3 separate regions of the Mus musculus genome follow, and regions 2 and 3 are each reported to be linked to region 1. Evidence: microRNA targets listed by miRTarBase, many of them from high-throughput screens and not tested one by one. Region 1 holds a microRNA gene; each other region holds the end of a gene's coding sequence.

Evidence for each region. The annotated mature microRNA mmu-miR-223-3p reads UGUCAGUUUGUCAAAUACCCCA and lies in region 1 at 4,710-4,731, opposite strand. An mRNA with a match to its seed (bases 2 to 7 or 8) in the 3' UTR can be bound and repressed. Matches are read on the target gene's strand: a 7mer-m8 pairs with bases 2 to 8, a 7mer-A1 pairs with bases 2 to 7 and ends in A, and an 8mer does both.
Region 2: miRTarBase lists Ddx17 as a target of mmu-miR-223-3p. Seed matches in the 3' UTR shown: 7mer-m8 at 7,777-7,783.
Region 3: miRTarBase lists Ypel1 as a target of mmu-miR-223-3p. Seed matches in the 3' UTR shown: 7mer-m8 at 6,150-6,156.

Annotation. Positions count from the first base shown.
Region 1 is chrX:96,237,170-96,247,614 of GRCm38, reverse strand. Mir223 (microRNA 223) reads right to left here and starts at 4,798; the gene lies at 4,689-4,798. F630028O10Rik (RIKEN cDNA F630028O10 gene) reads right to left here and starts at 7,689. Exons shown (of 3, transcript NR_030718.1): 1 at 7,619-7,689; 2 at 7,102-7,202; 3 at 3,973-6,577. Vsig4 (V-set and immunoglobulin domain containing 4) reads left to right here. Exons shown (of 7, transcript NM_177789.5): 7 at 1-414.
Region 2 is chr15:79,522,006-79,532,450 of GRCm38, forward strand. It overlaps Ddx17 (DEAD box helicase 17), which reads right to left. Exons shown (of 13, transcript NM_001040187.1): 12 at 9,673-9,909; 13 at 5,691-8,512. The coding sequence ends at 8,007. It overlaps Kdelr3 (KDEL (Lys-Asp-Glu-Leu) endoplasmic reticulum protein retention receptor 3), which reads left to right. Exons shown (of 5, transcript NM_134090.2): 2 at 806-906; 3 at 2,799-2,957; 4 at 3,662-3,914; 5 at 5,067-5,734. The coding sequence ends at 5,107. Among named protein-coding and RNA genes, the nearest start is that of Kdelr3, 11 kb to the left of the region's middle.
Region 3 is chr16:17,082,097-17,092,541 of GRCm38, reverse strand. It overlaps Ypel1 (yippee like 1), which reads right to left. Exons shown (of 5, transcript NM_023249.6): 4 at 10,366-10,445; 5 at 5,806-8,026. The coding sequence ends at 7,940. It overlaps Ppil2 (peptidylprolyl isomerase (cyclophilin)-like 2), which reads left to right. Exons shown (of 21, transcript NM_001252444.1): 13 at 238-327; 14 at 653-686; 15 at 1,250-1,367; 16 at 2,384-2,440; 17 at 2,889-2,961; 18 at 3,052-3,114; 19 at 3,261-3,397; 20 at 3,676-3,797; 21 at 5,329-5,987. The coding sequence ends at 3,772. Among named protein-coding and RNA genes, the nearest start is that of Ypel1, 17 kb to the right of the region's middle.

The DNA of each region.
Region 1 (10,445 bases):
ACTACTTGCCTTCAACATAGCTTTCTCCCTGGCTTCCTTTCTTCTTAGACAACCTAAAGTATCTATCTAGTCTGCCAATTCTGGGGCCATTGAGAAATCCTGGGTTTGGCTAAGAATATACTACATGCACCTCAAGAAATCTAGCTTCTGGGCTTCACCCAGAACAATTTTCTTCCTAGGGCCTTCACAACTCTTCTCCAAACAGCAGAGAAATTCCATAGCAGTAGAGGTTCTTTATCATGCCTCCAGACAGCGTGAGTCTCAGTCCTACAAACTCAGACAAGCACATGGGTCTAGGATTACTCCTCTTTCTCTAGGGCCAGATGACTTTTAATTGATATTACTATTGCTACATTATGAATCTAATGCACATGTATTCTTTTGTTGTTAATAAATGTTTAATCATGACATCAACTTCAGTTGTGTTGGTCTTCTCTCAATACAATAGGACCTATCCGAAATTATTAAAATGAGACCTATCCGAAATTATTAAAATGAGACTAAAATGCTAAGGACCCCTAGGAATATAGATCACGCACTTTGCTGTGCTCTCTCTCTCTCTCTCTCTCTCTCTCTCTCTCTCTCTCTCTCTCTCTCTGTGTGTGTGTGTGTGTGTGTGTGTGTGTGTGTTACAGGAATTTTTTTATTTTTATTAGATATTTTCTTTATATACATTTCAAATGCTATCCTGAAAGTTCCCTATACCCTCCCTCCGCCCTGCTCCCCTACCCACCCACGCCCACTTCTTGGCCCTGGCATTCCCCTGTACTGGGGCATATAAAGCTTGCAAGACCAAGGGGCCTCTCATCCAACTAGGCCATCCTCTGCTACACATGTAGCTATTGTTGTTGTGTATATTGTTGTTCCACCTATAGGGTTGCAGACCCCTTCAGCTCCTTGGGTGCTTTCTCTAGCTTCTCCATTGGGGACCCTATGTTCCATCTTTTTTTTTCCATTTTTATTAGGTATTTAGCTCATTTACATTTCCAATGCTATACCAAAAGTCCCCCATACCCACCCACCCCCACTCCCCTACCCACCCACTCCCCCTTTTTGGCCCTGGCGTTCCCCTGTACTGGGGCATATAAAGTTTGCGTGTCCAATGGGCCTCACTTTCCCTATGTTCCATCTTATAGATGACTGTGAGCATCCACTTCATTTTACAGAAAATTTAACCCAGGGTTAACCAACAATTTTCCCACTGAACTAAAATATTGTACTATTTTTACTTCTTATCTTTTTTTTTGTGGTACTTTTTTTCTTTTTTTTTCTTTTTTTTTATTACGTATTTTCTTCAATTACATTTCCAATGCTATCCCAAAAGCCCCACACCACACTCCCCTACCCACCCATTCCCATTTTTTGGCCCTGGCATTCCCCTGTACTGGGGCATATAACGTTTGCCTGACCAATGGGCCTCTCTTTCCAGTGATGGCCGACTAGGTCACCTTTTGATACATATGCAGCTAGAGTCAAGAGCTCTGGGGTACTGGTTAGTTCATAATGTTGTTCCTCCAGATCTCTTTAGCTCCTTGGATACTTTCTCTAGCTCCTCCATTGGGGACCCTGTGATCCATCCAATAGTTGACTGTGAGCATCCTCTTCTGTGTTTGCTAGGCCCCGGCCTAGTCTCACAAGGGACAGCTATATCACCGTCCTTGCAACAAAGGCTTGCTAGTGTATGCAATGGTGTCATCGCTTGGAGGCTAATTATGGGATGGATCCCTCGATATGGCAGTCTCTAGATGGACCATCCTTTTGTCTCAGCTCCAAACTTTGTCTCTGTAACTCCTTCCATGGGTGATTGTTTCCAATTCTAAGAAGGAGCAAAGTGTCCACACTTTGGTCTTTGTTCTTCTTCAGTTTCATATGTTTTACATATTGTACCTTATATCTCGCTATACTATTTACTTCTTATCTTGATGATATCATACTAACCTAGCCAGGCTTGCCTTTATTTCACTCTCTAAATTAGGTAGGCTTTGAACTTGCCACCTGCCTTAGTCTCCCAAGTAATTGGAATGATAGGCCTGTAACTCTAATCCAAGCTTTGGTTTTTGTTGTCTGTTTGTTTCTTGGTTTGTCTTTCACCTTCCAACTCATGCCACCTCCCTTCTCATAATATGGATAGCCCTATCTAAAGCAAATCAATTTTTGCTTAAATAGTATTCTACATAACATCCACTACCCAGTCCATCTTTCTATCTTCTCTACTTTGTGACTCTTCTCGGGGCAACAGGAAGATTGTCAAGAAGCCTCACATCTTTATCAACGTACTATGAATGTACAAATAAAGTAGTTTCTGTCTTTTCAAAGTCTGTGTATAATATCACTAAAATATCTGGACTAGTTGCATTGGTCATCTTTTCTCCTCAATTCTTTTTATAATGTGAAGAGACTTTTTTAAAATTTTATTAATATAGGTTGGTTTATTTGAGAAAGTGGTAAGATGGGTTTCAATGTTTTTTAAAGCTTTATGCATATAAATGGGAAGAGTAAGAGATTATTTCTTAATTGATGGAACGGGGTGGGGGGAATGAAGAAAAGTGTAGGGAACAGGAGGGTAGGGGAAAGGAAAGAAGGAACTCTATGTACTTTGGAATGAAACTCCCTTGTAAAGAAATTGTTTGGGGCCACGTTTGCATTGCTTCCTTTCCCCCCATTTATTTCATGTCGAATCAACTTCCTAAATTTTCATGGGAACTACCATGTTGCCTATGTAGTCTGCATATGCACAGGATCAGATCAGGTTTCAACAAGAGGTACTCCCACTTTGAAATGACTGCAAAAGTCAAAATAGTACACAAAAGTGATTGACAGTCTGCCCTATTTTACCCCCACTGATGCTGCCAAGTCTATGACCAAAATCTCAGCATTTTCTTCTTTGACAAATGCTAGCTATGCATAATTAGTGTCAGAGATGACTTCTTCTTCTCCATCTCACTTACCAGCCTCCACAACCTGGGTACCACCCAGTAGAAACCTCAGCTTCCTTCATGAAACATCTGTGAGTCCAGCCCTGAAAGCCTTGAAAACACCCTTTATCTCATTCTGCTCTTTAGAATTAATCCCTGGGCTTGAAGAGAGAATGTTTATTGAAATTGCCCTAGTAAAGTGAGCCACAAATTCAGGGAACCCCCAACACTGGAACCACCAGGAATGTCTCCTATTCTTGCATGTGAAAATGTTTACAGATTACTTATCTGAACATTCACATACCACAAATTGGGAAGTGAAGCCCAGAGAGAAATGAAGGTTTGTCAAAAGTAACATACATCAAGTCAATGGCAGAACAAAGACTGGAGGTTAGACCTGTGGATTTTTAGCAGTGTGTGTACTTTGCTGCAGACATCTTCTGAAGATGGTCTTTGTCCCTAAACAATGGTATTTTTCCATGCAGGGTAAGCCAGTAAGTCATCCCTAGATAGAGATGCATCCCTCCGACAATTCTGAGCAAAATTGGGGTAACAATATGGGTCTTGTTATTTAGGTCACTGGTTAGTGGGTGAAAAGTTAAAGAATGAAAGTAGGTATCTCCAGAACCAAGGGAGAGTATGGAATTTCTCCAGAACCAAGGGAGAGTATGGAATTTCTCTAAAGAAGCTTGCCAAAATATATGTTATGAAATGTTAGACTCTGGAGAGAGGGATTGGAGATGCTTCATTTTATAGTTCTATATTAGAAGTTCACCCCAGTGCAATGATAGAATATTAAAGGCTCAGAAAATTCTGTTTAAAAAGACACGTGTAAACCAATAATTCAAAAAATTTTTCCCTCTGAGTCTATTCTTTCTTCTTGCCCTCCTGCCCCAGACCTAAATCTTATTTCTCAGAGGAAAAAAAAATCCATTTTGGTTACCATCTTGTATACACTATAGCATTAGAATACCCACAGTTTGATTTATTTTTTTCGCAAAACCCTGGTTGGTATTTGACCTATATAGCAAAAGGTTATTGACTAGTAAAACATCAATTAATTGGTAAATATTTATTAATAATTAAAATGTTGGACAATGGTATGAGAGACAGCAATCAACTGAATATAATAAGCTCTAGATTCTTACAATATAATAGGGAATTCAAGAACATACCCTGGAAAAATTCACTGACAACTTTAGAAGATGTGTTGGATGGTAGGACATATAATAGCACATACCAGTATGTGGTTAGCCAAGGAGTAAAGAAAAGTATAGGTTAACTTTCAATAGTGCCAAGAGGAATTGGAATTTGGTAGTGTCTGAAAGCCCAATGAAGATAAACAAGAAGGTTCTTTTAAGAATGATAAAAGCAAAGTGGAAAAGAGAAAATGTAGGTAGCTTAAGATGTGCTCCGAAGGCCAGACAGTGGATATTTATTTCCTACTTTCTCATAGAATTCATGATGCTTGTATGAAAATTCTGCTATTCTGGCTGCAAGAAGAGGAAAGTGAAAGAAGACATTAATAATAAATCAAATAATACTCTCATTCCCTGTATCCCTCATGTACCACTATGCAGTCCATGGCATTTTCACAATGTACACAGATGCATACCAGACTTGTAGACCCCAGAGCTGCATCGTTCCTACTCTGATGTTCTCTGAATAAATGTTATAGTTCCCTTAAAGACATAGAATAACACCAGAGAGCTTCATGTTTCATAAGCATTCATATGTAGGCAGCAGGCTATGTGCTCTGTCCTGGACCTGGAGCTGATAGGCATGAGCCACACTTGGGGTATTTGACAAACTGACACTCTACCACACAGAGTGTCCAACTCAGCTTGTCAAATACACGGAGCGTGACACTGCAGATGGCCAGATCAGGAACCTCCACTGGGCAGCAAGAACATGCTGGAAGATGTGCAACTGGAAAGAGAAAAAAATAGGGTGATTATATCTTACCCTAAGTGTGAGACAAATGGCAGACACTAACATGACTGACTAAGACACACCAAAAGAGGGAAGTGAACAAAACACGCTAATGCTCCAAACAAAAACGGGGATCCTGGGTGTTTGTCTGGAGATTCTGGTGGCCCAAGCCTCAATTAACTCTTCTATTCAGCTGAAACAGGAAAAAATTGTCATCATTCTGTCCTCGGGGACAATTTATGTGTTCCTTCCTCCTATCAACTTCTTGTATGCTCTGTTTACCCTGGTTATGTACCTAGATGTTGATTTTTAAAACTGGATTTGAATTCTACCTCTACCATTAACTAGCTGAACACCTTAAATAAATGAGTTTATGTCCCTGAAACCTACTTCTTCCATAGCCACAAAAATGCCCATGAAATCATGGCAAGAATATGTAATAATGCATATAAAGCCATTAATTTAGTGTTTGTTACCTAACAAATACTCAAAAATTGTGGCTATAGCCAGGTATGATAGTACATGTGTGCATACAAGCTTTCATAGACAGAGATAGGAGAACCTCAGATTTAAAGTCAATTTGGGCTATATAATACTACCCTTTCTCAAACAAAAAAGTAAACAATCAAGATCTAGAGATAAAACTCAGTAGCAGAACACTTACCTAACTTGTACAATACTCTGTATTTGATCCCCTGTACATAAATAAAAGTGACTAAAATGTGCTTTAAAATTAAACATATAAGATAGATACTAACAGGGGAAAAGATAGATAATTTATTTAACAGAATTGAAACAGTAATTTCTTGTGGCCTTAGCCGGCTTTGTCTAACTTGGTTGCCTTTTCTCATAAGCAGTAAAGAATTAATGATATTAAAATGCCCTTATAAGTCATCTAGTTTTACCCATTCAAGATTATAAATGAGAAAATGAAGTCTGATGTTTAGGGAAAGACTTCCAAAAGGTCATAAAACAAGTTGTTTACAGTTTGGGAATTATATCATCCATCAGCTCATTGTGTCCCTTGGCTGTCCACCCCACCACTTTTTCTTGTCTGCTTTTTATATTCCCTTGCAAAAGGGAGAGCAACAGCAACAAAGAGCAAAACAGGCAGTGGATTTTGCAGGGAAGTATTAAGATGTTTGAACTCATAGCTACCAGGGCAGCTGCCAGAAGAGCCAAGCCATCTCAATTTATTTGATATTTTGTTTAGCATCATGATCCTGTTATTCAAAATGCTTGATAGTATCAAATTTTGTCCTACCCAGGTTTAAAGTTTTCTTGGGCATCAATTGTCTTCTCTAGAAATAGAGACAGAAATCTTACATCTCAAGGTCTTGAAAAATGTTGGATGAGACTTCTAGAGCTTTTTAGAAGGGAGCTTAAAGAGACCTTATTTCCAACTCTGGAGCTAGTAAAAGCCAAGGAAAGTGATTAAAAGAGAAAGGAGTAATGGGTTATTGGTTTTGGTTTTCTTGACAGCATCTCTGCTTATCATCTGCTGTAAGGAGAGCTAGACACTTTAGAGATATCCATAGCCTCTCAATTGCCCTATCCGACCTCACATAACCCAAGAACACTGGAAAAGAGCCATGAAAGGGGCTAAAGAGTTCTAGTGCACTGACTTAATAGATTATTATAAATACTGTTTTCCAGGATTGATGGAGAAGTCAGTCCTTAAGCTGGGTAAGGGACTATTTCATTTTCATTCTTGATGTTCCAGTTCACACCTATTCAGAGGAATACATATAAGAGAAGCAAGTTTAGTTGATTAAAGTTAGTCAGACCCATAAGAATGAAGACATAGATGACTACATAGTCAGTCTTCATGACGCAAATTGAAAGGCATAAGCTTGGTAAAAGAGGTATAAGATTTTACCAAAAATCTATAAATGTCCAGAATAAGCCACATATCAGAAAATATATTTGGTGATAAAGAAGTACTCAGGACCATGTCTTAATATCCAGATTTTTTTCAATATAAGGAGAGTCACCTGCCTCAGTTGCAGGATACCCATTATTTCTTGGTATCTCAGTCCTCCTAAAGCAGAAGAAAAAGGACACTGTCCTGGGCTTAGACTGAGTTGTAGTACAGGTTTTCTGTGTGGCCTTGGGAAACTACCTTTTCTTCTCTCAGGACCTCTGTTCCTCACATATATATTTGTCCTCACGTCTATGTGCCTTTTAAATTCTGAAATTGGAGTAGTGACTTACAAAACTAGAAAAAAAAGAACCTTTCATGTTTTAGTCATACCTTTCAGACCACCAGCAGTTTTCTAAAGGATGTTCAGCTCTGCCTAGAGGTGTACATTCAAGCAGCAGTCTCATCTTCTTTCCCAACCAAAGACTGGTAACCTTCAAAATAAGAGACATAGAGGCTAAGACATTAAATAGCATCTCACCTTTGTCTTTCTCTTCTCTGCAAAAGGGACTCAAACACTGAGTGCTAGACTATAGAAACAACTCACCCAAAGAAAAGTAACAGATATAGAACAAAATTTAAAATGCTATTTAGAACTCCTAACTCCTGGCTCTGATAAGCATTTAACTTCTACATGACTATCTTCTAAAAGCCATCATTTGTTAGAAATTTTTGTGTCCCTTCTCTCTATCACATGGATAGAAAGTGAATAGAAACCTTCATCAGTCTTATCTTTGACCCTTTATCAGTAACTGGGATCTGAGAGTCAGTTAGGCATATCCAGAACACTGAAAGCTGTTGTGGGCACTGTTTCAGCATGGGAATCTAAGAGAACAAGTAGATACTATACCTGTCATTGAAGTGGTGCCTTTGTCTTGGATGGGATATAGGTGCTGAGCCGAACTATAGAGGCCACAGAAAGCTGAGTTTTATGTTGTGAGCAGGAAGGTCACATGTTCTGAAGGACTCTTGGTGTCATGAAGAGGAAACAGAAATGAGGAAGATAAAGTTGAGGCTAACCAACGGAAATCTGGGTACAAAATGACAAAACAGAGCTATTGTGAAAGGAGTAGTTGCTAATGCAGCAATAGCCCCTACTGCTCTGTCTCCACCCATTCTCAACCAACCTCCAAAAACACTGACTTCCCATGCTACAGAGTGGGAAAGCAGGAAGTACAAGTTTCCTTTGTGTTCTGCCTATGAAGCAAGGAAGTTTCCCTAGAGCAATTGAGGGAATCTTTAAATATCAGAGCTATTTATCTAATGAAAATCTATTGTCAAAATGTAAAAATGGAAGCAAATTTGTGGCAAATCTGAAATTTGATACCACACAATTTCCACCAAGCCTGTGTTAATCTTATTTTGTTAACATGCACTTTTACTTCTTTCCTGAAATAAAGAATCAGCTACATAATCGTCAAGGCCTAGCACAAACTAAATGTAATATATTCACTCTCACCCCCTTTTAAAAACAAGCTAGTTCTCTTTGGGGTATGACTGTTCTTCCCATGATTCTAGATCCCAACCTATAGAAAAGTTTTAAAAGAGTAATGAATAGACAATGTAGAAGTTTTTGGTTTTTTATCTCCAGAAATGGGAGTTCCTATTTGCCTTATCTTTGTAACAGCACCTTTGTGGAAGTAAATACCAGGTCACAGCTGGGTGGGACCCAATGTATCCCTGAATACATCACAAAGGGCAATTCTCTTGAGAAGCCAGCACCTACCAGGTCTTCTTGAAGACCATATAATTTAGGATGTATCCACTATGGAAGTAAGTGAGCTCTCAACATCAGGGCTAAACCTCTCAACACTACCTGGAATGTCTCCCAGTATATAGCTTGATCTGAAGGTATAGGCTATGCCAGTGCCTGGCAAATACAGAAGTGGATGCTCATAGTCATCTATTGGATGGAACACAGGGCCCCCAATGAAGGAGCTAGAGAAAATACCCAAGGAGCTAAAGGGGTCTACAACCCTACAGGAGGAACAACAATATGAACTAACCAGTACCCCCCCCCCAAGAGCTTGTGTCTCTTGTTGCATATGTAGCAGTAGATGGCCATAGTAGGCCATCAATGGGGAGAGGCCTTTGATCTTGCAAAGATTATATGCCCCAGTACAGGGGAATGCCAGGGCTAGGAAGTAGGAGTGGATGGGTTGGGGAGCAGGGCAGGGGGTGGGGGGCGGGTATAGGGAAATTTTGGAGAGGAAACTAGGAAAGGGGATAGCATTTGAAATGTAAGTGAAGAAAATATCTAATAAAAAAAAGAAATGTTGATAGTGTATTGTTCCCTTTCTGTGAGGCTCAGAGACTCTGCATTCTCACTCTGAATACCACACTACAAGAGGAACAAACCACATTCTAAGTCATTGTAGTGAATATGCTGGTAAGTCTCTGACACACACTGTAACTAAAACTGCTTGTCTAAGCAAACAACACCAGGAACTAATGGTGAAGACAGAATTTTCATTCAATTATTGCTCTAGATGTTAGGATGATTTAAATTTATTTTATTAACTGCACAAAAAGGAAAAAGGGTAACTAAAATAGAAGATAATTATATATCCTTAAGTCAATGTGACCTTCAAGATGAGAAAGGGAACTAAAGAATTTGGGAAGAGAGTGAGGTAGTTGTATGCTAAATCTTCGTGTTCATAATCCCTGGGAAGTCTTCATTCACAACCAGAAAGATGATGGATTCTTATTCGGGCCCTTCAACCTTGGATTCTAACAACATGGAGGATAAAAGATGGTAGCAGGTCCTGTGATGTTTTCAGGTTCTACTTGAAATAAGTTTAAATATTTGCAGAGGTTGAATTATAACCTTCAACCTAAACTAGTGGCAATAAGGCCTTGGGTAATATTCGAGCTTTTGTAAATAATCTGTTCATGACATATAAAGTTTTGTAAATTTGAATTCAAGCAAAAAGAGCCCATCCTAAGAGTTGGGGCTGTAAGAACTTAGCCTCAATTCTGTTTTTTTCTCTAAACAGATGAGGTTGGAGTCATTGTGCTTAACCTCTCCAACTCCAACATTCATTATTAATGACTATATCCCTGATTCTCTTTACTTATTGTGTACTCTCTTGTGATTACAGTCCCTAAGATTCTGAGGATAGTCTATAATAAGGATCCATTCACATTAACACTGTTTTGCAAATAACTCCCTTCCATCAAAATAATTTATCAGTTTAGGCCCTGAGACTAATGTCTCCAGATTTGGGTTCAAGAATTATTTGACTCCCATTTCTTTGGGGTTTTTGACTAAGTATTGGATTAGAAGGAAAGCAATCAAGCAGTTTTCTAAGCAGGGACTATGTTCTCTCAACTAACTCTGAGAAAAGAAAGTTCAGCCACCCATTCCTTTTATATGCCCACAGTTAAAATATTCTAGTGGCTAGTCTGTCTTTATATTTTTTAATGTTGGGGATTAATGTCCTGGCTTATCACATGCTTTAAAAATGCTCAAACTGTTTGAGCTATATTCCCAGACATCTCTACTGATTTTTAAAAAAAAATCTTCTGGAGACATTGGATCTACTAAAGGAATAATTAACGTTGTCCATTTTCAGTACTATAGAAGGTCCAGGAAAGATACTACTAGGAAACAGGTAGATTAAAAACTAAAAGTCATCTGTGACAAGAATATAAATTAGGACAAAGGGTACTGAAGG
Region 2 (10,445 bases), not on the chromosome of region 1:
GGCCTGGAACTCATAGAGATCTTCCTGCTGCTGCTTCCAGAGTACTGAGATTAAAGGAGTGTGCCACCATACCTGGGAAGCCAGCCCATTCTATATAGCCAGTTCCAGGCCAGTCGTTCAGCAAGACCCCGTCTCAAAAGAAAAGAAACAGTGTAGAGACCAAGACAGCATGTGTGACAAGTCCTGGCACCTGTGTCATGCACTCCTGCACATACATGAGCTCTGGCCAGAGGTCTGTGTTCTCAGGCATCTTTTCTGCATGTACCATTTGGTGTTTATTACTTACTTATGGCAATGTTGGGACTGAACCCAGGGCCTCTCATATGCTGGCAAGTGCTCGGTCACTGAGTTGCACCCCTAATTCTTGTATTGCAATGAATAAATATAGGCATAACCTTTATAAGTAGAAAAAGGTGCATTTTGAAAACAGAGCGCTGCTGGCCGATCTCTAACTCTCTCTGCCTGCTTGTCTCCCTGGTGAATCAGCAGCTGGAGTCAGTTCTCCCACAGTGGAGTTCTGGGGTTGCCACTGGAGCTCTGGGGGTGGCACACAGAACAGCCTCAACACCCCCATCCAGGCGACTCACACCACCTCCGCATCCTCCACAGAGACGCACCAAGGTGGCGCACGCAAGGTGACAGGGAACATAGTGTTCGAATCTTTATTTGTAGACAGATCATAGCTCAACAAGAGGCACAGGGACTCCAGTGACTGAGGGCAGGGCAGGGCAGGGCAGGGATAGCCGCTCCTGGCTGGCCACCCTGAAGGCTATGTTCTCATGATTCCCTTGTTCACCCTGCACAGGCATCTCTGGAAAGAGCCAGATTCTTTTCGCTTTGGTCTTTACCACCAGGTACCTGGACCTCTTCTCGAACTTCATCTCCATCTACAACACAGTGATGAAGGTAAACGCATGGGGATCCCTGGTGTGCTGGCAAGTTGAGGCCAGGGCTGGAGCTGGCTCGCCTGCCTTGCTGCCCACGGCCTTTCAGGAACGGGTCTCTGTACTTTTTGCTCAGGACCACCATGGTACTTGTACTTCACTCAGAGAGGTGGCTGGGAGATTCATCAAGGTCACAGGTTTAAGTGTGAGGCAAGTAACATGCATGATACACTCATGTCTTCTCAGCACTGGAGAAGCAGAGAGGCAAGAGAATCGCTTCAAGTTCAAGGCCAACCTGGTTCCAGGGCTACACAGTGACACGGTGTCTCAAAAGACTCCCACTAACAACACACACACATAGACACACACACACACATGCACACACGCACGCACGCACAGTGACATAAACACTGGCGCCCTACCATGGACTGAATATTTCCTAATAATTAACGATCACACAGAATGGTTAAACAATAAACAAATCAGATGTTTTTTTCCTGGACCCTGGGCATTTAGTGAACTGCATTGGCCATACACCTGTGCAATGTGTGTCCTGCTCTGCTGTGCCCGGCACTTGGAGACATTCAAGACTCATGGATCCTATACCTTCAGGGCAGAACATCATAAGCAAATGAGTATATTAGTCATGGAATGGCTAAGCCAAATCCTAAAATCTTACTTTAATCCCAGCACTGTGAGGCAGAGGCAGGTGGATCTCTGAGTTTGAGGCCAACCTGGTCTACAGATTGAGTTCCAGGACAGCTAAGGCTACACAGAGAAATTCAGTCTCAACCAACCTCCCCTCATGCCCCGCCCCCCAAAAATATTTCAAGAGATGATACAGCACATCAAAAGTCTCAGAGACATCCTTTGGGGTTCCAGGTAGCTCATCAGTGGAAGAGGTAAGAGGATGTTGTCTCCTGCGAAGCAGCTGTACACAGTGTGAATCTATTATTATCTATTTATTTCATGTATGTGAATATACTGTCGCTGTCTTCAGACATACCAGAAGAGGGCATCGGATCCCATTACAGATGGTTGTGAGCCACCATGTGGATGCTGGAAATTGAACTCAGGACCTCTAGAAGAGCAGCACTCAGTGCTCTTAACCACTGATCCATCTCTCCAGCCCCCAGTCAGTGCTCTTAACCTCTGAGCCACCTCTCCAGACCATTGGCTGGGGTGGGGGTGGGAGAGTCTTAAAATCACCATTAGAATTACAGGAGGCTGGCCCATTTACCTGCTTAGTTCATTTCTCTGCAGACCCAGCCTTGCTGTGACTGGATGAGATGTTGTCTGTAATGGAATAGAAATGTGGTCGTCACTCCTTGTGTTCCCTCTGTCACTAATCTGTGCTGAGTAAGGACTCACAGGAGGGTCCTGCCCATGAATCCTCTTGTGACAGAGACAGACTGACAGATCTTCACAGAGCATGTGACACCATGCTACAGGGTGTGGTGACAGCATTCGTCTCTCATCCTAGTGAAGTGTGAGTGAGCTCTCTGTGCCAGTGTAGTTTAGTGCCACCCAACAGTATTGGCACAGCCTGGGAAGTTGTTAGAAAAGCAAATTCCAAGGCTGCCCAGACCTACCAAAAAAATAAAACAAAACAAAACAAAACAACAAAAAACCCCCCAAAAACAAACAAACAAAAAAACCCTTGGGATGGCATCAGAGAAGCTACTCATGTGACTCTAATGCAAACCTCCAACTCGTGACTCTAGGGGCCCCAGAAACATCATGCATACACGCACACACGCACACAAGCATGCACACTTCCTCACACATGCACACGTGTGCACACACACAGAGGCAGGGTGGCCTGTTGGGGACAATAGCATGATAGCCCTTAGAATTACAGATATGGTCTAGTACGAGTGTTAAATGATGTCATAGACGTCCGTGTCTCCCTAGGTGGTTTTCCTCCTCTGTGCCTATGTCACAGTGTACATGATCTATTGGAAGTTCCGGAAAACGTTTGACATTGAAAATGACACATTCCGGCTGGAGTTCCTCCTGGTCCCCGTGACTGGCCTTTCCTTTCTGGTGAACTACAGTTACACGCCGATGGAGGTGGGTCTTAGTCCCAAGGCAGGACTGCCTCCCAGCACCCTTTTCGGCCATCTGGGCATTTCTACCATGAGCCTTTGCTCACCGTTCACAGCACTCACCTCCACCCCACCGTGAAGGGGCTCATCTAGTCATAGTCCTGAAGTTCCCAAAGGCTCCAAGTTAAACAGGTGGTAACCCTCCTCCAGTTGACACCTTGTGTCCCCAAGAGTACCAAGGCTGAGTCAGCAGCGGGCCTGAGCTTTGAAAGGCTATCATCTCTGGAGGTTCTATGCCGATATTTATTGGCTGTTCCTTGTCACCTTATCTTAAATGTCACTTACACACTATGCAGTCTGTCAAAACTATGTTTCATGGACAAATTTGCACTGTTGTGAAACAAGCAGGCATTACATACCTGAGTTTGTATTTCTGTAAGTGATGGACAGGTTTAACTACTAAAGTTCAGGGCTGGGGACACTATGGGCAGAGTGCCCTCTGGCCTTTTTTTCTATTCCCAACAGCAAAAAGCCATAAATACAAGTTCTTAAACCTATTGTGGCAAAACATTCTGGGGTCTTATTCCTTCCTAGGGAGATAAGTTTGCTCAAAGCAACATTGGTACCCTGTAAAATGATTGTGTGTCAAACTATTCTCTTCAGCAAACGTTCACTACATGAGTCCTCTAAAGCAAAGGACTTCCAGCCTTTCTATTGTTGTTCTGACAGGTCCTCTGGACCTTCTCCATCTATCTGGAGTCAGTGGCTATCCTGCCACAGCTCTTCATGATCAGCAAGACCGGAGAGGCTGAGACCATCACCACTCACTACCTGTTCTTCCTGGGGCTCTATCGGCTCCTCTATCTGGCCAACTGGATCAGGCGGTACCAGACAGAGAACTTCTATGACCAGATCTCAGTAGTGTCTGGAGTTGTTCAAACCATCTTTTACTGTGACTTCTTCTACTTGTATGTGACCAAAGGTAGGCACTGGTCCTGTGTCACGGTGCTTGCTTGCTTTCTCTCTCTTTCTTTCAAGACAGGGTTTCTCTGTATAGCCCTGGCTGTCCTGGAACTCAGAAATCTGCCTGCCTCTGCCTCCTGAGTGCTGGTCACTGTGCACTCTTATGTCTGGTACTTGTATAAGTTTGAATAGGTTTAGCCTCCGTAAACATACCTGTTTGAATGTTTGGCCCACAGGTAGTGACACTATTAGGCATGTCCTTTATAGAATAGGTATGCCCTTGTTGGAGGAAATGTAGCACTGTGTAGAGCCAGGCGTTGAAGGCTGGGGCAGGTATCTACTGAAGGCAACATATGCTTTGAATCAGTGTCTGATACACGGTAGAGTTTCTCCTATAACTAGGATCCATGGGTCCAGGAATCAAGGGGTGGAGAAGGGAGTAGTTCCATTTAGTAACCCACTAGGAAAATGTTTGCTTCCTGTTTTCGATTGGCCTACAAGTTTTGATTCCAGAGGGAGGAGTGCTCCTGCCAGGAGAAAGCCGTTTCATGTGTTTGTCCGGGAGTTTTGAACACTAGGAGTCCTCCAAGGCCTCCCAACAGTGTCACTCCCTGAGGGCCAGACTTACTCCAACTGGTCTGAGGCAGAGCCAAGGTTCATCCCTCTGGAGCTTATTTGGATCTGGGGAGGCACAGACCAATAGCAATCAGCAACGTGCACAGACAGGAAAACTGAGGACTTCTGACAAACTTGGTTGGGAAAACCTCAATCTCCAAAAGCCCCGAAGCAGCTGTTAGCAGTAGTAGACCTTGAAACGCAAGGAAACTAAGTTCACACAGAACCCCAGGGATCTAGGTTATGGGGTTTGTTATTGTGTCACCATGCCCAGCAGCCACCATGCAGAGACTAATCAGGGCAGTTTAAAAACAGGGTTGGGATGGATAGACACAGGCTATGGGAATGGAGTAGACATACTCATCTAAAATGATGTAAGAACACCAGTAACCAAAGTGGGGGGAAACAGCATAAACCCCACGGGTGACCCGCAACAAGTAACAAGGGAGGCAAAGGCAGGCGATCTCCAGTTCAAGGCCAGCTAAAGTGGAGGGAGGGGGGCAGGAATTCTTCTTTAAGTACAACACATAGTAAAATTTTATCTTTTTTTCCTTAGTCCTTAAAGGAAAGAAATTAAGCCTCCCGGTGCCAGTTTGAAGAGAAGGGCCACCCCTATGGCAGCTAAAGCAAACCATCCGGATCACTGCTTCATGACTTCAAGCCAAGACTTGGGACTTCATGTTAGAGTGACTGGTGTGAATTTGAGCAAAGCACCATCTTGGGATAAACGGCAGCACCTCCCTAATCCACCATGGATAGAATGGGATACCTAGCCCATCTGCCCAAGGATGGTGCCCTACAAGTGCCAAGTGAAGAGAAGCAGTAGATACCTCCGTGAGTGGCTCAACTCCTTGCTTCCTTAGGACTATACAACTCATGCCCAGGGCTGGGAAGATCCATTCAGAGAACCTCCCTAGGTCAGCGTGCTGAACTCGAGCCACATGTCCACCTGGCCTGCAAGCTGTAAGCAGTCCAAATAACCAGCTCTGCCAAGTGCTTAGGACTGCTTAGCTCACTTGTTAGCTGAGATGGACACCATGGCCACTGTGTAAATCCATTCTGTGCTAAGAACCACCAATGTAGCCTTCCCCTCCCAGCCTGAGGTGCTAAATAGAATGCCTAATACACTCACCCTGCTTAATGTTTTCACTGCTTGGAGGAAAACATTAAGAGTACACTTAAACTCTTTTTAAGTTTTAATGTAATAAAAAATTCACACCTTTATTGTCAAGTATTTATTTATACCTACAAAAGAAAACAAGATGGTATCAAAAGGACAATTTACAAACTAAGAATAGTAGTAACATAGCTCTGAGCATCCTGTGCATAACATCACACCTACAATTCAAGTCTCAATGACAGGAATGTGTGGAGAGACCAGCAAGGGCGTTAGCAGAGCACTGATCCCAAGCAAAAGCCACCAACCTTTTTAGATGAGAAGTCTGCACAATGGATGGTTAGGGAGAAGCAGCCCACAGCCTAACACCTAAGCCCTTTCCCTAAGTGAGTAAACCATAAACGGCAATTAACCCAGCTGGAAGGGTTTGCCTGCACCTGTGCTGACAAAGGACAGACAAGGAGGCACAAGTCACTTGCGCCAAGTAGGAAAACTGCTAGTTTTCTGCTGTACCCAGGCCAAAAGAGCTTATGAAATATGACATCTGCTACTTATCTGGATTATGCCTCTGCTGGAGAGGGGAGGTTAAGCAACCTAGCTACTGCTTCATCCCCGGAGGCAGTAATAGAAGGGGTGTTTTTGAAGAGTGACAGGAGCACAGGACAGCCCATGGTATAATGCTTAATAAAAAATAAATCTGAATTTGGTTGTAGAAAGTATCTGTAACAGGCTGGTCAGCATCAGTGATTAGACACTTGCTTTTGGCAGGGTGAGAGACAGACAAGACAGGACACACTTTGGTTTCAGAGCACAGAGCAGGGTTGCCACACATCTGTGCCTACCATCCCCCCTCAGCTTCATAGTCTGTAAAACGGTAAGGAAAACAGAAGAATGCCAAGCATGCTGACAACCTACCTGTTATGTTACACACTGAATCCTATTTTCTGAGCCCCTCAAAACCATCCCTTTCTCTTCCTGAAAGAAACCTCAAAATTGACTGTTACCGTACAAAGGAGCAGGCACCCTCAGGGCACAGCCAAAGAATGCAGTGGAGCCTCCTCCCTGGAATGAATTTGAGCGGCCCAGGTAACAGCCACACACTAGCCCCACCACTACCATCTACTAGAGGCGCTGGGGCATCTGCTCTCCTGTCCTGTTTAGGTGATAAGAGCAGAATTTTCTTTCCAACTTCATCTGCTGCTCTTCCAAGTTCCAGGAGCATTTAATAAAGGGGTGAGACGAGCTCACCCCTACCTTCACACTCCAGAGAGTAAGGAGAGCCTGGGCTTCAGCCCTCCATGGCTACTACCTACCTGTGAAAAACTGAGGGCAAAGGAAAGCCCAGAACAAGTGCCTCCAGCTGTTAGAAAGCACCTCAGAGACCAGGCTTTGAGGAGGCAAGCTCTTTAGCAGTCCTGCTCAGGAGAGCCTGACCAAGTGGGCAGAGCAGCCCATGAGGTCAATCCTACTCTAAGAATACTGTTTAAGAGGAAGATCCGCCCACTCCCTTGCAGTCCATCATTCCCAAAGGTGCTTTCTAAATGCTGCTCGGAAGGCTCTGCTGAGCGCTGATGCTTACCGCTCAGTGGCTGATCTGGCTAGAAAATGACTTTCAGATGGCCCCTGGTTATGTGGGGATAAAAATCCCAGGCAGCCTCTACCCAGATGCCAGTCTACCTAGTAAAAACAACCCTTTATAGTTTTTTAAACTTAAAAAGACAACGCTTGAACTCAGAAATGTAATTTCTAACTCAACACTAACCTGGTTAATATTTAATAACTGCAGGAACAAGTGGGGAGGGGGCATGATGACAGAATCGATTAGGAATTTTTAACTGTTGAATGCACATAAGAAGCCATCAGCCAAATGACCAACAAAGCAGTCTTAAAAATTCATCAGGCCTGAGTAATCGAACTTCAGTAACTTAAACCCACCATGGGCAGTGTGCATGGAAATCCCTCTTGGCTCCTCCCTAAGGAGAGCAGTCTAAAGAACAGATACCACTTCCTGCAGAGCAGTCCCTCCTTCCCTACCCACCCTCCCATGGATAAACAGGCTCCAACAAAAGTGCCTAATACCTTTAAGATGAAAAATAGCTCAATATCCTCAACATGCATTAAGCTGGGGGAAAGAAATTAATTCTTTCCAGTCAGTTATGTGTATATATATTTTTTCTTACAAAATCTGTAATTATAGACTGGATCTTTTGGGTGGGCAGAAGAAACCTGGCAGTGAAATTTTAACTATCTGCATTAAAAAAAGATAAACCGTAATGGTTGAGAAAAGAAAAAATAAAAATGAAAAGGTCTAGAAGGGTAAAAGACAGTGTTCCTTTAGATGTGTAATTCATCTGCACGAGTCACTCCTGCCATGCAGTTTCATTTGCGAGATGGAGGAGGGGGAGGGGGAGGGGGAGGGTACTGGTAAGCAGTCTGCCCCATGTAGCCTATCATATTGGTAGCTCCTGGAGGCTGTGCAAACTGCTGTGACATCAGTGGCTGTGGCTGCTGCCCAGATCGGCCTATCCCACTAAACTGCTGGCTGGAGCTCTGAGAGCTCCTCCCTGCTGAGGCAGTGCTGCTCGCCCCGTAAGTGCCAGCAGCATACTCCTGCGCCGTGTAGCCACTGGTGCCATAGGCAGCTGCCCCATAGGTGCCTTGAGCATAGGTGTATTGGCCTGCTTGTGCCCCAAAGGCAGAATTTGGGCTTCCATAGCCACTGCCATTAGCATAACTGGCTCTATCGGTTTCACTACGATCCCTGTAGCTTGTAGAATCTCTCCGGCCACCATCCTTGACCCCTCGAAGCCTCCGGTCACACTCGTCCTGATACATCAGATTGGGATTGTTGGCTGAAGAAGTAGTCCGGTATCGTGAGCGGCCTCCTAGTGGGAAGAAAATGCCGAGTATGTGATCCCAACAAACTGAACATAAAGGGGCACAGAAATACTCAACACATGTTCTTCATCTGTAACGCTAGTCTCTAAGTTAATACTTCACTCAACTTGGTGCCTTTTAGAGTCTTCTTGATAACAAAACCAAACTTAACCTGAGTGTACCACACAGCTGTAGATCAACTGTATGCCTCGGTTAATACTATGCTATGAAATGAGGTAAAATTACCAAATTCTCCAAAGGTATCAAGAAGGAAAAACAGTTTAGCTATCTATGTTAAAATTTTAAGAGACAGGGTCTAGCTATGAAGCTCAAGCTGTCCCAAAAAGATAACATACCTAGCTTTACCTCCATGTGTTAAGAAACATAGGCTTGGGGCTGGAGAAATGGCTCAGTAAAGCACTGACTGAGCTGACTGACTCTAGAGGGCCTGAGTTCAATTCCCAACCATCTGTAATGGGATCCAATGTCCTCTTCTGGCATGCAAGTAGATACTCATATACATAAAACAAGCAAATAAATAAAAGAAACAAACCCGCCAGGCGGTGGTGGTGCGTGCCTTTAATCTCAGCACTCAGGAGACAGAGGCGGGCGGATCTCTGAATTCGAGGCCAGTCTGGTCTACAAAGTGAGTTCCAGGACAGCCAGGGCTATACAGAAAAACCCTGTCTTGAAAAAACAAAACCCAAGCTTGGCTGGACAGCGACAGCTTTGTTAGGTTGATTTCTGAGTTTGAGAACAGCCTGGTCTACAAAGTGAGCTCCAGAACAGCCAGGGCTACACAGAGAAACCCTGTCTTAAAGAATAAAAACCAAACTAAAAGATTCACAGGCATGTACTACTAGTTTAATTTTGGACATGTACCATGTAACCCCAAATTTAAATAAATAATGGGTCTTAAATCCTCAACTACAAGAACACTGGGTTCTAACAGTAACACAATGACCAGACTTACTTTTTCACTTAAAATGAGATTATTCAAAGCCACAAATTTCTTTCCAACTCCAAACAAGAGCCTTGTCATCCAAACAAAACAAACAAAAAGGAAAACTAAAAACTCACCAACAAAGAAAAACCAGCAGAAAAAAATGGCACAATTAGTGTTACAAGTCCTTGGCAGTACCTGGAAAATTCCAGGACTTACCCTTACCCCCTCCTCCGCCGCCACCTCTGTGGTCCACAAGCTGCATCAATTTTGGATTGATGGCTTGATTGGCCTCTTCCAATACTTTGATCAGCTCTCTAGCCTGCTTCAGGTTGCCCGGGGTAAAGAAAGTATAGGCAGTGCCCTTGTTGGTGCTGCGGGCCGTTCGGCCAATACGGTGAACATAATCCTCTGAGCTGTTTGGATAATCGTAGTTGATGACAAACTTGACATCTTCCACATCTTCCACGTCAATGAGGAGACATTGTGTAGGTTGATGTGGCAGAGAAAGAGAAGGTAAAGACATGCCAAGAGGTGGAGAGCACGAATGCAGATGACAGCAAGAGGGGAGAAGATGAAGTTAGTAACTGCCCTGAGTAGGTACAAAAAAAAGACTCATCCCAACAGAGTAAAAGAGGATCAGTGCCACTCAGGACACAGGCAGGCCCTGCATCTTGGTTTGTGATTACCCTATGGGAGCTCCCTCCAATACCCCAAACTCCTGCCTCTTCTGTAATGATATGCTGACAGGAGCTACACTGAGACCAGAGTTCAGAATGACAAAATCTAGTGCCACCCCCTTTCGAAGCTAGAATGTAGAAGAACTTAGTAACCACCATTAAAGTGCAGGGCCAAATCACTTTTACTCTGTTGGGAGAAGCCTGGCACAGTCTACCAACAATACAACCAACTTACCTTCAGACCAGTCACAGAGCAGCACGGAAAGGCACTTCATCTACTCACTACATCCTCAGACTCAACAGTTAGATTCTGTCTTG
Region 3 (10,445 bases), not on the chromosome of region 1:
GTCCCTTTAGCAACATACCTCCTTAGCTGCTTGGTAAGTGTATCTATGTGCAAATCCTAGGATAGAGCCCTGACTCTGTTTCCCCATGTGTCATATGGCTGTAGGACTCTGTAGCTTAGCTTAACTCTTAGAAGTCAGACTGAACCAAAGCCTACAGAACTTTCTGCTATGATAAAGGTCTGCATGTCTTATGCCTCTGCTATTAACTATGCCTCATACTGCTGGGATATTTTGTAGACACCAAAAACCTGTGAAAACTTCATCAAGCTCTGCAAGAAACAGTATTATGATGGTACCATCTTTCACAGGTCCATCAGGAACTTTGTGGTGAGTGGTATAGGTTGATGTGGCCATAGATGCTTGATGACATGGGGAACATCCAGGAAACAAACAGGCTCATACCTTCCCGGTTCCAGATACCTCGTTCCAGGCCATGTGTGGCCAGGGTAGGGTCTTCAGGTGTATCTTGTGCCAGGGATCTTATAGCTGGCCCTTCAGTGCTCATCCAGGAAGACCTAGCTGGGGTCAGAGAGGAGGTCCCTGTCCTTATTGCAGCACATGCCTGTGGGAAGCCTGTCCAGTTAGTCGGCAGGGTGTGTGGGGTGATCAGCATCATCAGAGCCAATGGCCTCACTGGGTTTTATTTTTGCAGATCCAGGGCGGTGACCCCACAGGTACAGGCACAGGTAGGTGCTGGTGCCAGCCTTGTTCTGTTGGAATAATAAATGTGATTGTTCTGTGGGGCCTGGTAGGGAGCTGGGTTTTAAGTTCTGGGTATATAATCTTTCAAACTTGGGGGTGGCTGGCCATTCAGTGGCTGGCCTTGTGGCCTACCTTGTGCATGCCCCTTACTTTTTCCACAGTATCAGGGCCTCTTTCCTAATCCTCAGGGTCCTACCATAACAAGACAGGGAGGTGAAGTTCTCAGAAACCACTTGTTCACTCTCAGGAGGTCTGGCCATGCATTCCTGTCATGCAAGAAGGTGCCCCCATTGCTCCTGCAGAGCACAGCAATCTTCCCCAAGCCTCCAACTCCATGGGCCAACTATGACTTGGACCCATGTGTTAGAATGATGCCTTGTAGCTTAAGCCTTCAGCCCTGGCCCACAGGTGAGAAAGCAGTGTCAGCTTGTATAGAAGGCTCTGGCATCTAGAAGTAATCAGGGAGGCTGCCTCAAGGACACGGCTCCCTGATGCTTCTCTACTAGGCTTTGTGGCTGACCACTGACAGTGCTTCTCTCTGTTCTAGGTGGAGAGTCATTCTGGGGCAAGCCTTTCAAAGATGAGTTCCGTCCCAACCTTTCACACACGGGCCGTGGGGTGCTCAGCATGGCCAATTCGGGGCCCAACACCAACAAATCTCAGTTGTGAGTCCATGTCCAGCTCTTTTTACTCAGCTGCTGGGGGTGATATCCAAAGGACCTAAGAGGTCTCCCTAAAAGTTGTGCTCAGCCTAAGTTAAATCCAATCAAAGTAACCTAGATGAAGCCTAGGTCCCTTCAATAAAGGAGCCCAGGTCAGCGGGTTGAATAGCATTCCGAGCTGCAGATAGTACTTAAAGATAGGCACCAAAGTCCTCTCTAGGTAGGTCAGGCAGAAATGGGAGTGTGTGGCACACACCTGTGAGGTGATGGCAACAGTCAGCTCTGGCATCCTTGGTTCCATAGTGAGGTTAAGGGCAGTACAGTCAAATGAGACCAAGTGTACACAGTGTGTGCTTGGTGGCCTCAGAAATGCCCCTGTTTGCTGGGTGAGGCATGCTCATTGCAGCTTGTAGACTCAGCCTTCTGAGCCTCACTAGATGTGGCTATCAGGGGAAGGCTGCTGTCCTGTTGGCCCTGTAGGACTGTCCTCTTGCCGCTCTGGGTAGGGATATCATACTTCCTGCTTTCCTTTTGATTTATTCAGAGAGGTCTTGTAGCTCAGGCTGGGCCGAGCTCAGCCTCCTGCTAGGATTGCAGGTGCTCCCACCTTTGTCTCATGCTGTCCAGCCTTTTGCTCTCCCCTGTTTACAGACTGTAGTCTAGAGCTTCTTCCAGACACCCTGGAAGCCTGACTCAGTCCTCTGCCTCTGGCAGGGCTCATGATGGGCTTGAGTCACTCCATTTCCTTCCTCCAAAGAGTCTAATGACTATGTTCAAGCCACCTGCCTCTCCTGCTTGCCTTCCAAGGGAGGTCTGGCAACCAAACTCCGGCTTTCTCCGGAGAGCCAGAGGTCTGGATTTACCTCTGTAGCCTTAGCAGAGACAGGCAGTGGGCAGCATACACGGGTTCAAGGAAGCTCCAAGCTGGGCAGGGCTTCTATTGAGGAGCAGTCATTACTAGCCTAGAGCACACTATTGGGACAGCCTGCTGCTTCCTCATCTCCCTGTACTTTCCCCAGCTTCATCACATTCCGATCCTGCGCTTACCTGGATAAGAAGCATACCATCTTTGGACGGTAAGAGTAGATGCTGTAAATATTTGGATTGCAGTGTGGGCCTTCACTGCCTTTCCCCAGACATGGCTATTATCCCTCCAACCACCACTGAGGACTGGGTATTTCTATAGGGGAAGGTTGGCTCTCCTGGCCTGTGGGGCCAAGAGGAGGAGACACCCAGGCAGCCATAGTTCATACAAGATCCTGCCTTAGCAAACTGGGGGGAAGAAGTATGGAAACACGGATTGTGGCTCATCCAGGAACACTTTAGTCACCAAACCTGGCTGGGTGTGGTGTGCTGCTCATTTCTGTGTTGTGGTGCATCCTGTCCTGCCTGGTGACTGGACTGACCTTTCTGAGGCTCTGCACTGTCTGCCAGTCCTCTTCATGGCATGTCTCAGCTCTGCCGTGATGCCTCTCTCTGCTCGGGGCACTCTGGTACCCAGTCAACTCTGTCAATCTGCTGCAGGGTTGTTGGGGGCTTTGACACGCTGACAGCCATGGAGAATGTGGAGAGTGACCCTAAAACTGACCGTCCTAAGGTATGTGCCTAGGGAGAACAAAGCACAACTGCCCACTGGGTGCTGTTTGGGGAAGTCTGCTTGCCTGCTCACAGAGCTTTCTGCCACCAGGAGGAAGTGCTCATATGTACAACCACAGTGTTTGTGGACCCCTATGAGGAGGCTGATGCCCAGGTAAGGAAGGTGCCAAGCAAATCATGGCCTTGTTAGGAGCAGGAGGGCACACTGGAGGCTCTGTATCAGCCTTGGCCCTCCCTCCTAGCTGGGGGTGAGAAGAGCCAGCCCTTGGGTTCTTTATCAGACATTTTGCTACCTCCCAGATTGCCCAGGAACGGAAGAAGACACAGCATCAGGTGGATCCAGAGGCCAAGGTCAAGATGAGTCAGCCCCAGCCTGGAAACCAGGGACCCCAGACATACCGCCAGGGGGTGGGCAAGTACATCCACCCTGCGGCCACGTGAGTGTGACTGATGGGCAGCATCTCCCGTAGCCTCATAGTGCTTCATGATTACCAAGCCAGCAAGAGCAGCACAGGCCAGACTGGAGACTAAGACTGAGGGGCTTGATAAGGCCTGGTGCAGGCAAGGATGCCTTACTGGCTGGGCTGTGTGGGAGCAGCACTGTGGAGGGGGGCTTCTGAAGGGAAGGCTATCTGTGGATAGTTTCTCAAGGGACTCGCAAGCATAGGCTCCTGGCTCTTTTGTGGCAACTGCAGTATTTTTCTTCACGTCTCAGGAAACGATCAGCAGAGGAAGAACCATCGACCAGCACTGCCACCCCCACGGCCAAGAAAAGGCCCAGTCGGGGCTTTGGGGACTTCAGCTCCTGGTAGCAGCAGGCTGGCCTCAGGGATCCTGGTAGGGATGCAGGGCTGTGGGCTTCTGGGGCTGTCCCTGAGCTTTCTGCCCTTGCCATCAGTTTGGGCTATGAGCCAATAAACCTGTTGCCTAAGACCTGGGTCCAGTTTGAGCCCCTGGGACTCCTGGCATCCCCACCCTCATCTGGTGCCGTGGTCTCTGCCTCAGGATGGCTGTGTGCACACTCAACACATTTCTTGGCCAGTGCTGCCACCTATGTGTCCTGTTAAAAATGGAGATTTTCAAGGGGCTCCTGTAGTCCCAACATTCAGAATACCAAGACCAACCCTGGCTATATAGGGAGCCGATCTCAGAGAAATTTAGATAAGGAGATTGGAAATGGTCCTCACTCAGACCCTACCTAGTCTGGATCGTGAGGCAGGAGCTTCTACTCCCAGGCTATTGTGATGGGGTCTTATGGTCTTACTTTGACACCACTTCCACAAAGCACTTGTACTCCCTTGCTTGGGACAAGCGTGTTTATTGTCCTGTCTACTCTGTCGCCTACCTTTCTGCATCCGTGATGGTGACCTGCTGAGCCCAGTTAGTATGTGCTCTTATGAGAGCCAAAGGTCCTTACAAAGAGGTGGCTTCCTTCTGACTTCTCCTGACCAGTCACCTACTCATGTTTTGAGACAGTCTGTCTGCATTACCCTTGGCTGTCCTAGAAGTTACTATGTAAGACTAAGTTGGCTTTGAACTCTGAGATTCACCTGCCTCTACCTTCCCAAGTAGGATTAAAGGCAGTCACCACCATGCCTAGCTTTTGACTTTTGATTCTAGGACAGTTGTCAGGGTATCAGCTGAAAAGGCCTCGGGGGGCCCACGTGTCCAAATCACTCACAGCCACCTGCTCGTCACAGTGCTTTGCTCCCTGGGAACCTTTCCACAGCTGATTCTCAAGTGTGGGCAGTGTCGTGTCAGTCACTATGTTCTCTGTCACTAAGCACTGTCCTTAGAGAATGCCACACTACATTGTAACTTAGGCTTGACCTTTTACCCTAAACCTTGAATCCACAAAATCTCCGAAGTTCTTGGTTCTGGGGTGTAGCTAGTACCTGTTTATATTTCTGATGTTAAAACCATAGGCCTTCTGTATTTCTGGGAGTCTGCCTTGCTCTACTGCCCTCCCTCTCCACTTCCAGCTGCTGTTGCATGATCTCAGGGATGACTGCTGTTCACCCATGGCTGTTCTTGACACTTCCCCAGCCCGGTACACTATAGCCACCTGCCTGGGATGGCAATTCACATGCCAGACTGCATTGCCCTTCAGCCTGCCTTCCTATACCCCTCTGTTGACTCCTCTGGCTATAGGCAATGTGGGGCTAGATACAGTGGAGGCAGGAGGATCGTTAAGGCCGCACAGCAAGATCCTGTCCTCTAAAGTAAAAACAAGAAACAAAAGAGGCAGGTTATGAGACCTTGTCTTAAAAAAAGAAAAAGAAAAATTTAAACAGGGCAGAGCAGCAGCAGGGAGCCCTGCATGGACAGAGGCTGCTGGTGCCTAACTGTGTTCTCACACTCTTCTCAGGCCACTCACAAGCTACTACAAGGTGGTGTCAGAAGCATCAGGACCCCAGAAGCCCTCGGTTCTCAGCGGGCTCTGAGACCCTGATCCTTTGCTCCTAGTGGATGCTGCAGGAACGAACGTGGCTCGCCGCCGCCCCCACCTCCACCCCCACCCTGGGAACCTTGCTGTGTGACGACAGGAGCTTTATTTTATACCTCCCACAGACACGCCACAGAGGGCTGACAGCTTTGGCTAGGAGACAGGGAGGCCAAGGCGCTCTGTTTGCTCGAGCTTGCTGGTCCTGCTGTTCTTGGTGAACTCCCTGTGGGTTCCACAGCACTGCAGTCAGCCTTGCTCAGCAGCCGACACCTGTCCCCAGGGCAGGCAGCTGTGTCCTCTCCTGTCCTCCAGCACAGAGGACAGACCACCAGGGCTTGCATTTCCATGGGTCGGTTGTCTATAGCTTAAATGGTAGTGTTTTAGACAGTAAAGACACTTGGATTTTGAAAACTGCCTGATGAGCTCATCAGAAAATAAAGGACTTTTGAGGGGAAAAAAAATCTCATTTCTGATCTCTTCAAATACCTGACAGATGCCATCAAGAATAAGCATTAAGGTATAAAAATACTATGTATACAGTAACAAGACAACAAGGAAATAAACCACATTTCTAAAGCAAAGTGGCGTTCATGACCTGGTATCACCTCCCACTGTTCTGAGGAAACCTCTTTAAAATAGTCACAGAATGGTGCTGTTTACAAATGTAAGGAGGTGAGACATTCAGTGGTTTACCAGCATGCCTGGTTGTGGTCTTGCATCACTTACCCTGAAGCCAGCTCATGGTCAGTTCTTTTGGTTTATATTTCACAGAAGGCCAACGCAAAATCCAAAAAAACCTTGATAAATGGTTTGTTTATATCCATTACTCCCCAATACAGGTAAGTCATATAGAGTACTAGCAAAAACGTTCCAGTCAGAGCTCTCACAAAAGATAATACAGAGTGCTCAGTTGAGGGGCAGATAGCATGCCCAGAGCATAAAGTCTAAATATAATCTTAGTATATACAGAAGACTTCTCCAAGACTCTTCAGCTTTACTGAGGCATCTATAAGGACGTACTCGGGTCTGTCTCCCTTGCCGCCTTCCCACTGGGGAAAGCCGCCCATGCCTCAGCCACCAAGTTCCCACTCTGAAAAGTATTAAAAACTAGCCAGGCGGGCATGTCCAGTTTGAGCAGACTGTTGACCAGTGTTCATTCCTAGATAAGGATGGCCCTGAGCCTTGCCAAGGTCACACGGCTGCTTGTGCTGAGTTTCAGCACTTACCTTACTGGTAGAGTCACTTTGCTTTGCCAGCCTTAGTCTAGAGGGAAACTGGAAGTAGCTGGGGAAAAAGCAGCTTGGGCTAGGACCAGCATTGCGCAGGCATTTCCTGTATTACCAGCCTTCCAATCTTGGGCAAAGAAATGGCACCAAAATGTAGGTTTTGAAGTGAAGAGGAGTAGCGAGTGCCTGTGCTGGCCAGAGGATGTGGGTTTAGCAGGTCTGGGGCTGGAGCCCAAAGGTCTAGATAGAAACTGCTTTTTGACTACCACACCCAGGCAGCTCTAGAGCAGCCGGTGCTAAGCGCTTTCCTGTAATGCTGCCTTTGCAGCTCAAGGGCTCTCAGCCTTCACAGGCCTACTGCCTGCCCTTCTGCCCTGGGGAGGGTACAAAACAATGAAACTTATCTGGGAATGGTTCTGGCCTCCATCCTCTCTGCAAATTGGCCACTCCTTATAGAGTATGATGTGTTGTGACTTAAAATCTGAGAGCCTGGGCTTGGGGGATGGCCCAGATCCTCCCTTGTCAGGTCATGAGGTGATTCCAGGCAGAAAAGGTAGCTCCCATACTAAGCTAACTCTTCCTTTACCTTGGAAAACTCTCATGTTTTGCAGTTTCCCGTACTGGCTCTGGCCTCTGTATGCATAACTATTTCAAGTACATCCAGGGTATAAAGTGAAACCCAGCCTGTTGCTCTGTGGCAGGGACCAGCCCTACATTCTGAGCCGCTGTGCTGCCGCAGCACCAAGGGAGTCAGCTCAGTGGCAGACTTGGGTAGCCCTGGGACAGAGCGTTCAGCCACCAGTAAGTCACTCGCCTTCTACATCAGGAACCTCCCTATTTGCTTAAGATGTACACTGAATGCTTGCTTCCTAGCTTCTCTTCCATGTTACCAGTGGCTGGTTTCAGTTTTTGGAGACATGCTTTACTTCTGGTAACTATGCCTTTGCTTGTGAGGAGACCTTGCTTCTCTGCTTTTAGGGACTTGGGCTTGGTGAGAACACAGCCAGGCATTGCAGGCGTAGGGTAAAAGAAAGTATTCACTAGGCAGGTGAGTCACCAGCTGGTCAATTCTTTCTCTAGAACTTAAGATGTTAGAAAAAGAACTCAGACTTCCAAAAACGCATTGTACACGACAGGGATTCAAATGGGCACCTTACCAAGTGGATAGCCTAGAGAGACACCTTCAAGTGTTGAGACTGGGCTGGCCTGTGAGGTTAAGTTCAAGAAGCATTGTCACCAAGAAGCTAGGTCTTCTGTACACTCAGCTTTCATAAAATAGGATTCAAACAGGAGTGGACCGCTTCACTTTACCAGCCGTTGTCTTTGATCATGTGGGCAAGTTCAATAATAAATTTTCCTTCCTTGTATTTCTGACTGCTCTCAAAGGCATGTTCCTTGAGGGGAAAAGTAGAGAGGTTTCAGGACACATGTTTACTTCCCTGCTTTACTACAGTCATTATCTCTGAGCTGTGCACTGGGCAGTACAGGGGGATGACGACTGGGTCATTACACTCAGGAACAAGGTTAACTCAGTTCTGTTTCTGGGGCTGGGGCTGTAGCTCAGTGTGTACTGTATGGTGTGCCTGTGGCCCTGGGATCCCTTCTCAGCACCACAAACACTTCACTAGGTGATGTATGTGGATGTTTCAGAGTAATACAGGTGGTGGAACACAGGTGAAGTTGTGTGTGTTGTGTGTGCACGCGTGCGCGCACAGGCCAAGAGTTTGAGGTGGTGTTTTGACAGCCCTACATGTTTCTCTTAATGTTTTATTAGTTATTATTCTGGAGGGGCAGCCGTGTGCACATGTGTGGAGGTCAAAGCACAGCCTTTTGGAATCTTCTTTCATTGTGGGTCTGCAGATAGGATGCAGGACATCACACATCAGCAAGTGCTTCCCCTGCTGAGCCAACCCGCTGGCCATTTTATTCCACTTTGTTTTATGTGTATGGGCGTATCCGTGTATGTCTCTTTTGCATATGTCTGTGCATCACGCATGTGCAGTTCTCATGGAGGCCAGAAGACACTGGAACCGTGTGAGCTGCCTACCTGATGTGGGTGCTGGGAATCGAACCTGGGATCTCGGAGCCATCTTTCCATTCCCCTCTCCACTTTATTTTGAGACACAGTTTTTCATTGAGCCTAGGGTTTACTGACTCAGCTAGACTTACTCTGACCCAGTGATCTATTTCTGCTTCCTCACCACTAGGGTTATGAACATACGCTGCCACACTTGGCTCTTTACATGTGTGACAGTGGTCTGGACTCATCCTCTTGCTTGCATAGCAAGCACTTTACTGACTGTGTCATCTTCCCAGCCCACAGCAGACCACTTATGAGAGTTTGACCACGAAGGCTCCCTTAGCGTGCTATAGCATGAAGCCTGTGGAGATGCACCCCAGACACATTTGTCAGGGGATGAGGCCTGGCTGTTAGATACAGGCAAGTCCCCTGGGGTGAAAATGGTGAGCAGCGTGCTGCAGTGACTGCAGGGAGGACAGAAGAGGGACAACATGGCCAATCAGTTGAAGGGCTGGGCTTCCCAGAACCTAATGCTTTGTGGGGTTGTCTGGTCCTTTGCAGTTCATGAGGAGTTTGGAAGACCAGATGGTCACAAATTCAAGGAAAGAAGAGGATGCTACCCTGAACCATGAGAATCCAGAGTTCAAAGGGAGGCTGGGAATATGGCTCAGGAGGTAAAGTGTTGTCCACACAGCACGAGGACTACAGTTGGGTTTCCTAAAACCCACGTAAGAGCAGGTCAGATGCCGCAGCTGCCTGGAATCCGAATCTGGGAAGCAGGCAGGAGATCCCTGAATCAAGATGACTAACTTAAAACAAGCAGCAGTGAGCCCTGGATTTCGGAAGAGACTGCCTTAGCAAATTAAGCAGATATTCAGGAAACACCTGACACCAGCCAGCTTCCAAGTGTGCACATCACAAACACATGCAAAAAGAAAAAGGCACAAAACAGGCCTCTGGCTGTCAGTCGGGATGCACTATCATGAGGGAGCCAAGTGGCTTCCAGTAGATCAGCTGAGGCAGAGGCAGAAATAGAAGGGCTTCCCCAAACACAAGTCCTCAGAACCACAGCGGCTGGAGTGGCTCTCAGGAGACAAGAGTGGGTGGCACACGGTCTAGTCTTTGTAGTAGAGGGGTCCTCAAACTCCAGGACTAGAAATAAGGCAAAGACAAGAGTGGCAAACTTGTCATCTTTGAGATGTCAATCAATTTATGTATGGAGAGAAGCTGGAGACAGGCAGGCCAAGGTCTGAGCACAGAGCTCTGGGAGAGCCCAGGACTGCATTGACCTTTGTGCCTGAAGAGTGTCGTGGTGGACAAGGTGTGCTCTGCCCTGTTCCAAGGAAACAACAGGAACTTGCAGTCTTTGTTCTGAGACAGGATCTTGTACCCCAGAAACTTCTGATCCATATGCCTCCACCTCTTAAATGCCTGCCCCTTTTTTTGTTTTGTTTTGTTTTAAATTGTGTGTTTACACATTTGTGTTCTGTGGTGCTTTTAATGGAAAACTGGCAAGAACCGGTTCTCTCCCTCCCATGTGCATCCAGCTTGGTGGCAGGTGCTTTTGCTCACTCAACACTGTGCCTTGCTCCACAACCAGTTTTATTCAGCTCTGGGGACACAACTCAGGACTTTATGTGTTCTAGAAAGCTTTCCCCTCTGAGCACCCACAGAATTTTAAGGACACCATCCCTCCCATGCCCAGGCACTCACGTATTTCCACCCGAGTGTGGTCTTGCAGTTCTCACAGTAGATGTCGGCCACTGCATGCAGCCCGGTTAGAAGGACTCTCT